Danio rerio: one gene and its partners. The protein of the gene in region 1 purifies or fractionates together with the protein of each later gene. This does not show direct contact. Links are inferred from orthologs where the notes say so. Each region holds a gene or a part of one and is shown in the gene's direction. Other genes may lie near its edges. The genes, in order: tmem9b, clcn3 and flvcr1.

Region 1 (3,761 bases):
CAGTTATTTGTCTAGGCTTGAGATCAGAACAGAAAATTGATTAAGAAGGTGGTCCATGCTTGCAGTATGGATGGAAATTATGCGACATACATAAAGAAAATAGCAGACAAATGGCAACAAAAGTCAGCAATCATTGAAAATAGTATACTGCACACTGCTCAGACCAGTAATATATAATGGCAGTATAGTGTACAATTTGGCATCAGCATCTTTGCTTATGAAATGAGATGGAATAAAATATTAGTCCTAAAGAACAGGATGTGGAGTCTTCAGCACATAGTCATTCTCCGGCTATGCAATAGATGGAAACAGAATGAAGAGATACAGTACTATGTTTCAACTTTTTATATGCATGACATGATTTTTACATAAAGAGATCCTCTTAAACACAGGACTTTCTGTATGAAATTGTACACCATTTATGCTAAAATGGTAAAGTCAGTTCAATGGTGAAGGGATTGAGCAAATATGCCAATTGATTGAAGGTTTGCAAAGAAATGTCATGCTCTCTTGTAAAAGTATTTTGTAGTATTTTTAAAATACAAAAATACAGTATTTCATTTTGATACAAGTTGTGGCTGCGGTCTTTTGTAGTTTATTTTGATACACCTAAATCTAAAGGTATTTGGTATTTTATTTTAAAATACATTTTAATGTATTTTTGCCCAGCCCTTTTTACGTGGACATGCATGTATGTGTGTAAAATACTAATAAAATCTGTATTTTAATACTTTAAGTCGTTTTATATGATCAAAAGGGAAAATAAACCTACATACATCGATGTATGAACACATTTTCATATTGAAACCTGGAACTGAGCCATGACCTAAATGCATCATGCAGGAAACACATGACTGGAATGAACCCAAATACGACTCTTTTGTGGAAACATTTGTAACCTAAATCTTGTTATTAGTAAACGGACATGCTCAATCTCGCAGAACATTAGTTCCCATTCACTTGTTTCCGGAAGGAAGTGAGAATCTGCGGACCGCAGCTGACGGTCAGCTGATGTGTCAGACCAGCCCTCACGCGTTGTTTTGTTGTCTTTTATTTCTAGGAAAAGACGTCTAACAATTGCATGAATTGCTAAACGAATATTTGTTTAGTCGTAATTCCGAGAATATCTCTCTTCGGCGTTTGACAGCAATCTTTAGAACTGAAGCGAGAAAGATGTATCGACTGACCCACAGAGCCGCTGTCAATTTGTTGACGTTTTCATCGTTGCTATGTTTTCTGCTTTTATTGTCCGCACAAACATCAGAAGCTAAGGTAAAGTATCATTTTTCCCGCTTTATTGTAATACACGAAAATAATACTTTGTGCTCTTCGGCGCGTACTGATGTTATGGGCAATGCTAACTAGCTATTAGCATGTGGTAGTGTATGTGAAATAAAAGCACACGTAACGTTGCATCATTAAAAATGCAACGCTTTTCTGACTTCAAACGATGTAAAATGTGTTTTTAGTGCTCATAAACGTGTGGTTTGACTTAGTCATTTATTAATGTATATATGCAAGCTTATGCCTTTGGATTGGTTTCATCAGAATTCGGAAGATATCCGGTGCAAATGCATCTGTCCACCCTACAAAGAGGTAGATGGGAAGATCTACAATCAAAACGTTTCCTTGAAAGACTGGTAAATAATTTACTAAGGCTTTAAGCGAGTCTACAGTACTTTCAGTTATAAACTAACTCTTTGACCCTCTGTTCACTGATCCATAACCTCTGAATATATTGATATGCACAGTAATTGCCTTCATGTGGTGGAGCCGATGCCCGTTGAAGGCAAGGATGTGGAGGCATACTGTTTACGCTGTGAATGCAAATATGAAGAAAGGAGCTCTGGAACTATCAAAGTAAGTTCATTTTGTTTACATGACATGACAAATTGAAATGCATGGAGACAGGGAATTTAGAGAGAGGGCTTGGCGATATGACAAAAAATCTCATATCACAATATAATTCACCTCATATTCTGATAACAGGGTAAATATACTATGTTTCATCTGAGTTTTACTTCTAAAATGAGTATTTATTTCAACTTAGGTTCTTGTTCAGTTATTTCACTTTAAAAGCAATAAAAATATCCTGTTCATCACCATAAAGGTGAAATAACCAAACTTGCACACAGGAGTCTTACAAAAATGCTCATTTTAGGTGGGACTTGGAGGCTTTTGCATCTCAGCTCTTTATGCAGGTCATAATAGTTGTTTTTCTATAAATTTAACCAATTTATAGTTTTTGTATAGTAACATGGAAATGACCGTTTTTTTTTTTTTTTTTTACATTTTATATTATATACACCAAGGGTGTCTCAACTCACTCCTGGAGGGCTGGTGTTCTCGAGAGTTTAGCCTAACCCTAATTAAACACTCCTGAACCATTTAATCAAGCTCTTACTAGATATACTAGAAATTTCCTGGCAGATGTGTTGGAGCTAAGTTATGCAGGACACCGGCTCTCCAGAAACGAGTTTGGACACCCCTGGTAAAGACCATTCCAATGTGGCGATGTCACTGGCCCTCGAACATTTACTGCTCGTACAAAGTACCAATTCAATCATATGAAATGTTAAAAATCTAACATTATTTATCAATATGTGGACCTTTTTGGATACTTTGTAGCTTTAGTAATTAAAAAATGTAAAACAGAAAACAGGTTAGGACCATTATTATGGTTTACCTCTATCAAAATGGTCTATACACCTAAAAATGTACTCATTTCATGTGTGTTTATTTTTTCCTGGGTAATGTTTGATTACGAATGTAGGAATGTCAATTAAAAATGAATGAAATTTAAAACTCTTCACAAAATGATTACAGTCACCCTAAATAAAGGATTGTTAAATGGAATGCAAAATGTAAATGTTGTACCTTCTAGCTTGTCAAAAAAACAAGCAAAAACTCACTGCACCCCCTAACCAAAACATTTGCCTTTTTTACTTTAGTAAACTTATCACTCAATTGTCGCTGGTGTCTTTTTGATCTTTGATGTTTGAGAGTGCCTAGACTCTCCTTCATTTACTACCTTTAAGCTTGTGTGACACCATAAAATACATTATAGAGCATAATATGAAATGAAACTATAGACTTTTTACATTACATTACATTACATTTAGTCATTTAGCAGACGCTTTTATCCAAAGCGACTTACAAATGAGGACAAGGAAGCAATTTACACAACTATAAGAGCAACAATGAATAAGTGCTATAGGCAAGTTTCAGGTCTGTAAAGTCTAAGAAGGAAAGCATTAGTATTTTTTTTCTTTTTTTTTTGGTACAGTTAGTGGTATATCCAGAGAGGCAATTGCAGATTAGGAAGTGAAGTGGAGACACTAAATAGTTGAGTTTTTAGTCGTTTCTTGAAAATAGCGAGTGACTCTGCTGTTCTGATGCAGTTAGGGAGTTCATTCCACCAACTGGGCAGATTGAGCGTGAGCATTCACGAAAGTGATTTCTTCCCTCTTTGGGATGGAACCACGAGGCGACGTTCATTCACAGAACGCAAGTTTCTGGAGGGCACATAGATCTGCAGAAGTGAGAGCAGATAAGAAGGAGCAAGGCCAGAAGTCACTTTGTAGGCAAACATCAGAGCTTTGAATTTGATGCGAGCAGCAACTGGCAGCCAGTGCAAACGGACTAGCAGCGGAGTGACACGTGCTCTTTTAGGTTCATTGAAGACCACTCGTGCTGCTGCTTTTATTTTGTCCATACTTTATAGTCAAAATTAGAAGTGGATTTAAAAAAAGTTTTGTTGT
Region 2 (3,761 bases), about 21 Mb from region 1:
CAAGTTTTTACGCAGCGGATGCCCTTCAAGCCGCAACCCATCTCTGGGAAACATCCACACACACATTCACACACACTCATACACTACGGCCAATTTAGTTTACCCAATTCACCTGTACCGCATGTCTTTGGACTGTGGGGGAAACCGGAGCACCCGGAGGAAACCCACGCGAAGGCAGGAAGAACATGCAAACTCCACACAGAAACGCCAACTGAGGAGAGGTTCGAACCAGCGACCCACCGACCTTCTTGCTGTGAGGCGACAACACTACCTACTGCGCCACTGCCTTACCCTACTTTAATTTAGCATTATTTTAATTAATAATAAATATAATGTATATTTACATTAGAACACTATTATGATTAAAAATATTATAACAATTAATTATACATTTATTTTTATACTGTTTTGTTTTAATTTATATGTATTATAATTATTTTACTTTAATTTTTATCACTATTTCAATGCATTATTAATAACTTATTGATTTATTTTTAAACTTGTATTTTGTAAAAATCTTAATTGATTTTATTCAATTAATATTTTATATGAAACTCTTAATATCAATGTTTAAATATAATAATAATATGACAATATTTTGATAGGAAAATATCACAAGTGTTATATAAATTGTATACATTTGTTGTTATTGCTATTTGCACAATTTATTCCTTTATTTAATTTCTTTTTAATTTTATAATACATGATTTTTTTTATGGTTGCTTGTTATTTTATTTTGTTTTAATTTTTTCTAGCATAATTTCTTTATTGCCTTAGATAATTTACTTTGCACTTATAAATTTATATTTATATTACACTATATATTATATACAAGATGTCACAATGTAGTGTTATTAAAAATAATAATAAATATATATATATATTTTTTTATTATTTATATATATATATATATATATATATATATATATTATATATATATATATATATATATATATATATATATATATTATTTTTAATAATAGTTTAGCTTTATTTGAGCTTTTTCCATATATATATATATATATATATATATATATATATATATATATATATATATATATATATATATATATATATATATATACACACACACGTCACTACCTGATTTGTTGTTTTTAATTATTATTAAATACCCGTTCGTTATTGTACTGTGACATAACCCACATTTTAGACATGTTATTTTTAATTATGTGTAATTATCACATGTTTAATTCAGAGACTGTTATTTACACCGTCGTTCTCCGGTTGATTTAACGTTACGTTTAATTAAACAAGTCGAATGAATCGGATCTGAATTCCTGCTGCTGGCGGAGCGACACCGGAAGTGCACGTCACAGACACAGGAATGGGCCAAAATAAGCGTTAGCGGAGCAGAAAAACACAGGCACAAACGGAGGATAAAATGCGTCCTCGTGTTGGGTTTGTGCTGCTGGGATGATCCGCGGTTTCAGAGCTCGTTTCGAGGCATCGCAGAGGTAAGATCAAGAACATCTGTGTGCGAGGAACAGCATCACATTTAACCCAGCGAGCACCTGTCAGCTGCTGTCTGACTCGGGTTTATGATAAACACTTAAACATGTTGCTCTACAGCCACATACAGTCCTGTGGCTCTGTTTTAATGAGTGTATTATTTGCTTAAAGTCAAATTTGTTTACGCAGAATTTCAAAATGTGAGATGTATTTTTAGTCAAAGCTTCTCTTTCATCCTCATGATGATGGTGATAGGGTGATGCTGTTTGTTTATTTAGGCTTTTTCCATTTTAATGACTGTATAAACTGATTTCAGTGCTTTATTGTGAAGTAAAGTGTACATTTTTAGTGAAAGCTTCTGTTTTTTCTTCATAATGATGATGGTGGTGGTGATGCTGTTCGTTTATTTGAGCTTTTGTCATTTTTATGTCTATTTTTAGTGACTATAAACTGATTTCAGGGCTATTTTTAATTCAGAGTCCAGTATTGAGATGCAGAGTTTTTGGTTAAACCCATTTCTTTTACTTCATGATGGTGATTATGTTGTTTATTTGAGCTTTTTATATTTTAATGTCTATTTTAATGCCTGTATGAACTGATTTCATGGCTATTTTTCGTGATGTGAGATGTAGATTTGTATTTAAAGCTTCAGTTTTATCTTCGTTATGCTGATAATATTTGTTTATTTTTTAATTTTTATTTTATTTCTATGTAATGACTGTATGAATCTATTTCAATGCTATTTTATATTCAGAATTCAGTAGTGAGATGCGTATTTTTGGTTAAACCTGTTTGTTTTATATTAAGGATGGCGATGATGTTGTTTATTTGTAGATTTTTCCATATTTTTAATTCAGAGTCCAGTATTGAGATGCAGATTTTTGGTTAAATCCATTTCTTTTACACCATGATGGTGATTATGTTTATTTATTTTGATCTTTGTCTATTTTAATGACTGTATAAACTGATATCAGGGCTATTTTTTGTGAGGTGAGAGATGTAGATTTTTAGTTAAGCTTTGGTTTTATCTTAATGATGGTTTTTATATTTCAATGCCTGTTTGAACTGATTTCGGTGCTACTTTTAAGTCAGGGTCCATTAGTAAGATGCAGATTTTTGATCAAACCTGTTTCTTGTACATTAATGATGGTCATGATGTTTGTTTGTTTGGATCTTTTTCTATTCTAATGTCTATTTTTATTGACTCTATGAACTGATTTCAGGGCTGTTTTTTTGTGAGATGAGAGATGTAGATTTTTAGTTAAGCTTATGTTTTATATTCATGATGATGATGTTTGTTTATTTGAGATTTTTGTCATTTTAATGTCTATTTTAGTGACTGTTTGAACTCATTTCAGAGCTATTTTTAATTCAGAGTCCAGTATTGAGATGCAGAGTTTTGGTTAAACCCATTTCTTTTACATCATGATGGTGATTATGTTGTTTGTTTGAGCTTTTTATATTTTAATGTTCATTTTAATCACTGTTTGATCTGATTTCAGGGCCTTATTGTGAAGAGAGATGTAGATTTTTAGTTAAGGATTCTGTTTTATCTTTATGATGGTTATTATATTTTATTTTTGGACGTTTTTATATTTTAATGTCCATTTTAATGCCTGTTTGAACTGATTTCGGTGCTACTTTTAAGTCAGGGTCCATTAGTAAGATGCAGATCTTTGGTTGAACCTGTATCTTGTACATTAATGATGGTGATGATGTTTTTTTTATTTTGATCTTTGTCTATTTTAATGTCTATTTTAATGACTTTATAAATTGATTACAGGGCTATTTCAGTGAAGATGTAGATTTTTAGTTAAGCTTTCGTTTTATATTCATGATGTTTGTTTATTTGAGATTTTTGTCATTTTAATGTCTATTTTAGTGACTGCTTGAACTTATTTCAGGGCTATTTTTAATTCAGAGTCCAGTATTGAGATGCAGATTTCTGGTTAAACATTTTTGTTGTACATTAATGTTGGTAATGATGTTTGTTTATTTTGATCTTTTTCTATTTTAATGTCTATTTTCAGTGTTAATTTTGTGAAGTGAGATGTAGATTTTTAGTTAAAGCTTCTGTTTTATCTTGATGATGGCGATTGTTTGTTTATTTCAGCTTTAGTGTTCATGTTCATAATGTTCATATAGCTTTTAGTGACTGTATGAACTGATTTCAGTGCTGTTTTTTGTGAAGGGACATGTATATTTTTAGGTAAAGCTTCAGTTTTGTCTTCGTTATGTTGATGGTGTTTGTTTATTTTGAGGTTTTTTTTATTTTAATATCTATTTTAGTG
Region 3 (3,661 bases), on another chromosome or scaffold:
GCTCCATTGGCTAATGTTAGTCTATGTATTTACTAACATTTACTAAATATGAATAATCTTGTAAAGCATTCATGATTCATGGTTCAACATTTACTTATGAATTATTAAATTCCAAAGTTTACATTAGTTAAAGCACCGTTAGTTAACATGAACTAATGGTATTTAACTTAAATAACATTAGCTAATGTTAACAAAGATTAATAAATACGTAATAAAAGTGTAATGAATTGTTTGTTCACGTTATTAAATACATGAACTAACAATAACTAATGGACCATTATTTTAAAGTGTTACCCATATTTTATGTTCATGTATATTTTCTTTAATCTGTTATTATAACGCACAGTTTTGTACCTTTTATCTAAACTTAACCTCAACATAACCTCATTTCTTTTTGCGTTTTTGTCATACACAATGAAGATTTTGATTGTTTGATCATATTTATGGCTTAATTTCTTTGCAAACCTCTGCAGTTTATTATTATTGCAGTTATTGTGGTCTCTGTGTAAACTACAATAGCATGATTTTGTGACGTCATTCTCATGGGTATGATGTGTTCATACTATCAGACTGCATGAATACTTGACAACTAAAACAATAATGGTTGATTACACAAGAGAGTATGTGCACAGGTTTGTAGTGTTTCATTCGCAAATTTGCTTCGCCAGCTACTGACCTGTACTATATAACACTGTTTTTAATTATTTAAATAGGTCTAGGTAAGCAAGAATTGTTTTGACATTTTTTATACAGAATTTTCTTTGTTAGGGCTGTGCACCCACCAATGCTTTTTTCAACCAAGGGTAGCACATTTTTCCATTTGGTCTCAATGGGAGCATTGGTTTTAAAAAGATACAGAATAAAAATCTTTATAAATTCTCACCCACTTGTCATCCAAGATGTTAATTTCCTTCTTTTTTCTACTGAAAAGAAATTCAGTTTTTGAGGAAAACGCCCTAGGATGTTTTCTTCATATAGTTGATTTCTAGGGTGCTCAGTAGTTTGAACTTGTAAATTGCAGGTACAGTGCAGCTTCAGAGAGCTTTACATGGTCCCAGCCAAGGAATAATGGCTTTATATAGCAAAAAAGTCTGGCTTTTTCTTTAAAAAATAAAAAATTAAATAAAAAGCTTTTTAATCACAAATGCTTGCGTCACAAATTTAGTGTCAGCTAGTGCCAGTGATCAACTTTAGGTAAAAATAATTGCTCATAACTTTCACCTTTTTAGCCAACTTTCCAATCACAGTGTAGGAAGGGTAGTTATTAACAGTATCCATAGGTATTTTACAGTTAAAGTCAGAATTATTAAACTTTTTACATTATTATTAAACCCCTTTGAACATTTTTTTCCTTTTTAAATATTTCCCAAATAAGGTTTAACAGAGCAAGGAAATTTTCACAGTATGTCTGATAATATTTTTTCTTCTGGAGAAAGACTTATTTGTTTTATTCCGGCTAGAATACAAGCAGTTTTTGATAAAAAAAAAAAAAAAACATTTTAAGGTCAAAATTTATTAGCCCCTTTAAGCTATATATTTTTTGATAGAATACAGAACAAACCATCATTATACAATAACTTGCCTAGTTAACCTAATTAACCTAGTTAAGCCTTTAAATGTCACTTTAAGCTGTATAGAAGTGTCGTGAACAATATCTAGTCAAATATTATTTACTGTCATCATGGCAAAGATAAAATAAATCAGTTATTAGAAATGAGTTATTAAAACTAATGTTTAGAAATGTGTTGAAAAAATCTTCTCTCCATTAAACAGAAATTGGGGAAAAAATAAACAGGGGTGCTAATAATTCAGGTAGTTTAATAATTCTGACTTCAACTGTATATCATATCTACCAAAACATCTCAACTTATTCAAATCAAGCATGCACTGCTAGGTGTTTTCACTTTGTTTTCTTTGGTGGACACACTGTCAGCTGCTGGTTTCAACTGGAGCCCTAATGAATTTGCTTTTGTAAGCTTCTAATATAAAGTCTTAAGATCAAGGCTAACATGTTTGAAAAATGATTGAAATGTTAAGTTACACACTTTAAAACACCTTTTAATCTTATACAAACTTGTTGTTTTAGGGTGAGGAGCTAAACACAGGCAGAATCGGCTTGACCTTGGTGGTGGCTGGAATGTTTGGCTCCATACTTTGTGGAATCTGGCTGGATCGTACTAAAACCTATAAGTAAGTATATGCTGAACAGGTGGATTTTATCTTTTAATCGTTTGCTTGTAATTTAAAGTGCCCTATTATGCTATTTTAAAGGTTCTTAGTTTTGTTTTGGAGGTTTCCTACAATAGGTTTACTGTACATGCATCCAAGGTCAAAAAACAACTATATATTTCACATCTTCTCATTTAAAGAATCTCAAACGATTTGCTCAAAGTTTCATTAATTTTAAATTAGGGCTGCACGATATTGGAAACATTTTACATTGCAATTTTTTTTCTATATAATGCGATATAAATACAATTTAATCAGATTACTTAAATAGCTCTATTTGCTAAGGCATTACTTTATATTGAGTGGGATGATTCTGTAGAGAAGTGAAATATAAATATAGTTTTTGTCATTTATTTTTTTCAGAATTAATAGCCCCCTTTGAATTTTTTTAAATGATGTTTAACAGAGCAAGGAAATTTTCTTCTGGGGATTCTTGTTTTATTTCAGCTAGCATAAAAGCAGTTTTAAATTTTTTATTCATTCATTCATCGCACCTGGAGGAAACCCACTTGAACACGGAGAGAACATGCAAACTTCACACAGAAATGCCAATTGCCCCAGCCAGGGCTCGAACCAGCAACTTTCTTGTTGTGGGGTAATTGTGCCACCCACTGGACCACTGTGCTGCCCCTTTTTATTTAAACACCATTTTAAGGTGAAACCTAAGAGGGGTAATAATTCTGACTTTAACTGTACATATAATAAACCAACTACAGCCATAAATAAACACAATGGAGCAAATCTCAAAGTGAAATAAACCATGCTTTATGGTTTTCTGGAGAGAGTAACTATATTCAGTACAGAAATTTAATAATCAAATGTAAAATAACACTGCATAGTCTTCATCATATAAATAATTAAATAAAACTAATCTTCATTAAACTTCTTTATGCTCTATTCAAATGTTTTAAACTCTCTTACAATACTAAAAACACATGCAGATGATAAACTTTCAGTCTATTGTGGTTGAATTATGCAGTGACTCCCGAAATATCCTGTGTTTTAACCTATGGTCATCTATAATCAGACTCAACATTGCATATGTTGCGATGTGACTTGTGGATGCACACAATGCGATATATGAGACATTGTGCAGCTCTATAAATCCCTCCTTTAATAGGGAACTCTGCACGGTAATAGTCTTAGAAAAGGTCTTAAGAGTTATTGAATTTCAGTTTCTAATGGAGTTGATTAAACCATATCAACTTGAGCCAATATTTAGTGATAAATCATTGGAAGGACTAGCTCACAGGTGTCAAACTCAGTTCCAAAAGGGCTGCAGCTCTGCACAGTTTAGTTCCAACCCTAATTAAACACACCTGATCAAACTAATCGAGTCCTTCAGGCTTGTTTGAAACCTACAGGTAAGTGTGTTGGAGCAGGGTTGGAACTAAACTGTGCAGGACTTCGGCACTCCAGGAATTGAGTTTGA

Evidence for each region.
Region 2: the proteins of tmem9b (region 1) and clcn3 purify together in Homo sapiens (co-immunoprecipitation; 3 studies listed by BioGRID and IntAct, counting the BioPlex papers as one, with this or other methods). This does not show direct contact. The link is inferred for Danio rerio from reciprocal best matches to the Homo sapiens genes TMEM9B and CLCN3.
Region 3: the proteins of tmem9b (region 1) and flvcr1 purify together in Homo sapiens (co-immunoprecipitation; 3 studies listed by BioGRID and IntAct, counting the BioPlex papers as one, with this or other methods). This does not show direct contact. The link is inferred for Danio rerio from reciprocal best matches to the Homo sapiens genes TMEM9B and FLVCR1.

What each region holds. Positions count from the first base shown.
Region 1 is NC_133182.1:28,601,093-28,604,853, reverse strand, and holds the start of tmem9b (transmembrane protein 9B precursor), read left to right. Parts: upstream 1-1,002; 5' UTR 1,003-1,173; coding exon 1,174-1,272; intron 1,273-1,548; coding exon 1,549-1,640; intron 1,641-1,751; coding exon 1,752-1,860; intron 1,861-3,761. UniProt on the Homo sapiens protein: Enhances production of pro-inflammatory cytokines induced by TNF, IL1B, and TLR ligands. Has a role in TNF activation of both the NF-kappaB and MAPK pathways.
Region 2 is NC_133182.1:7,339,388-7,343,148, forward strand, and holds the start of clcn3 (H(+)/Cl(-) exchange transporter 3), read left to right. Parts: upstream 1-1,333; 5' UTR 1,334-1,475; intron 1,476-3,761.
Region 3 is NC_133195.1:41,124,372-41,128,032, forward strand, and holds part of flvcr1 (heme transporter FLVCR1), read left to right. Parts: intron 1-2,086; coding exon 2,087-2,190; intron 2,191-3,661.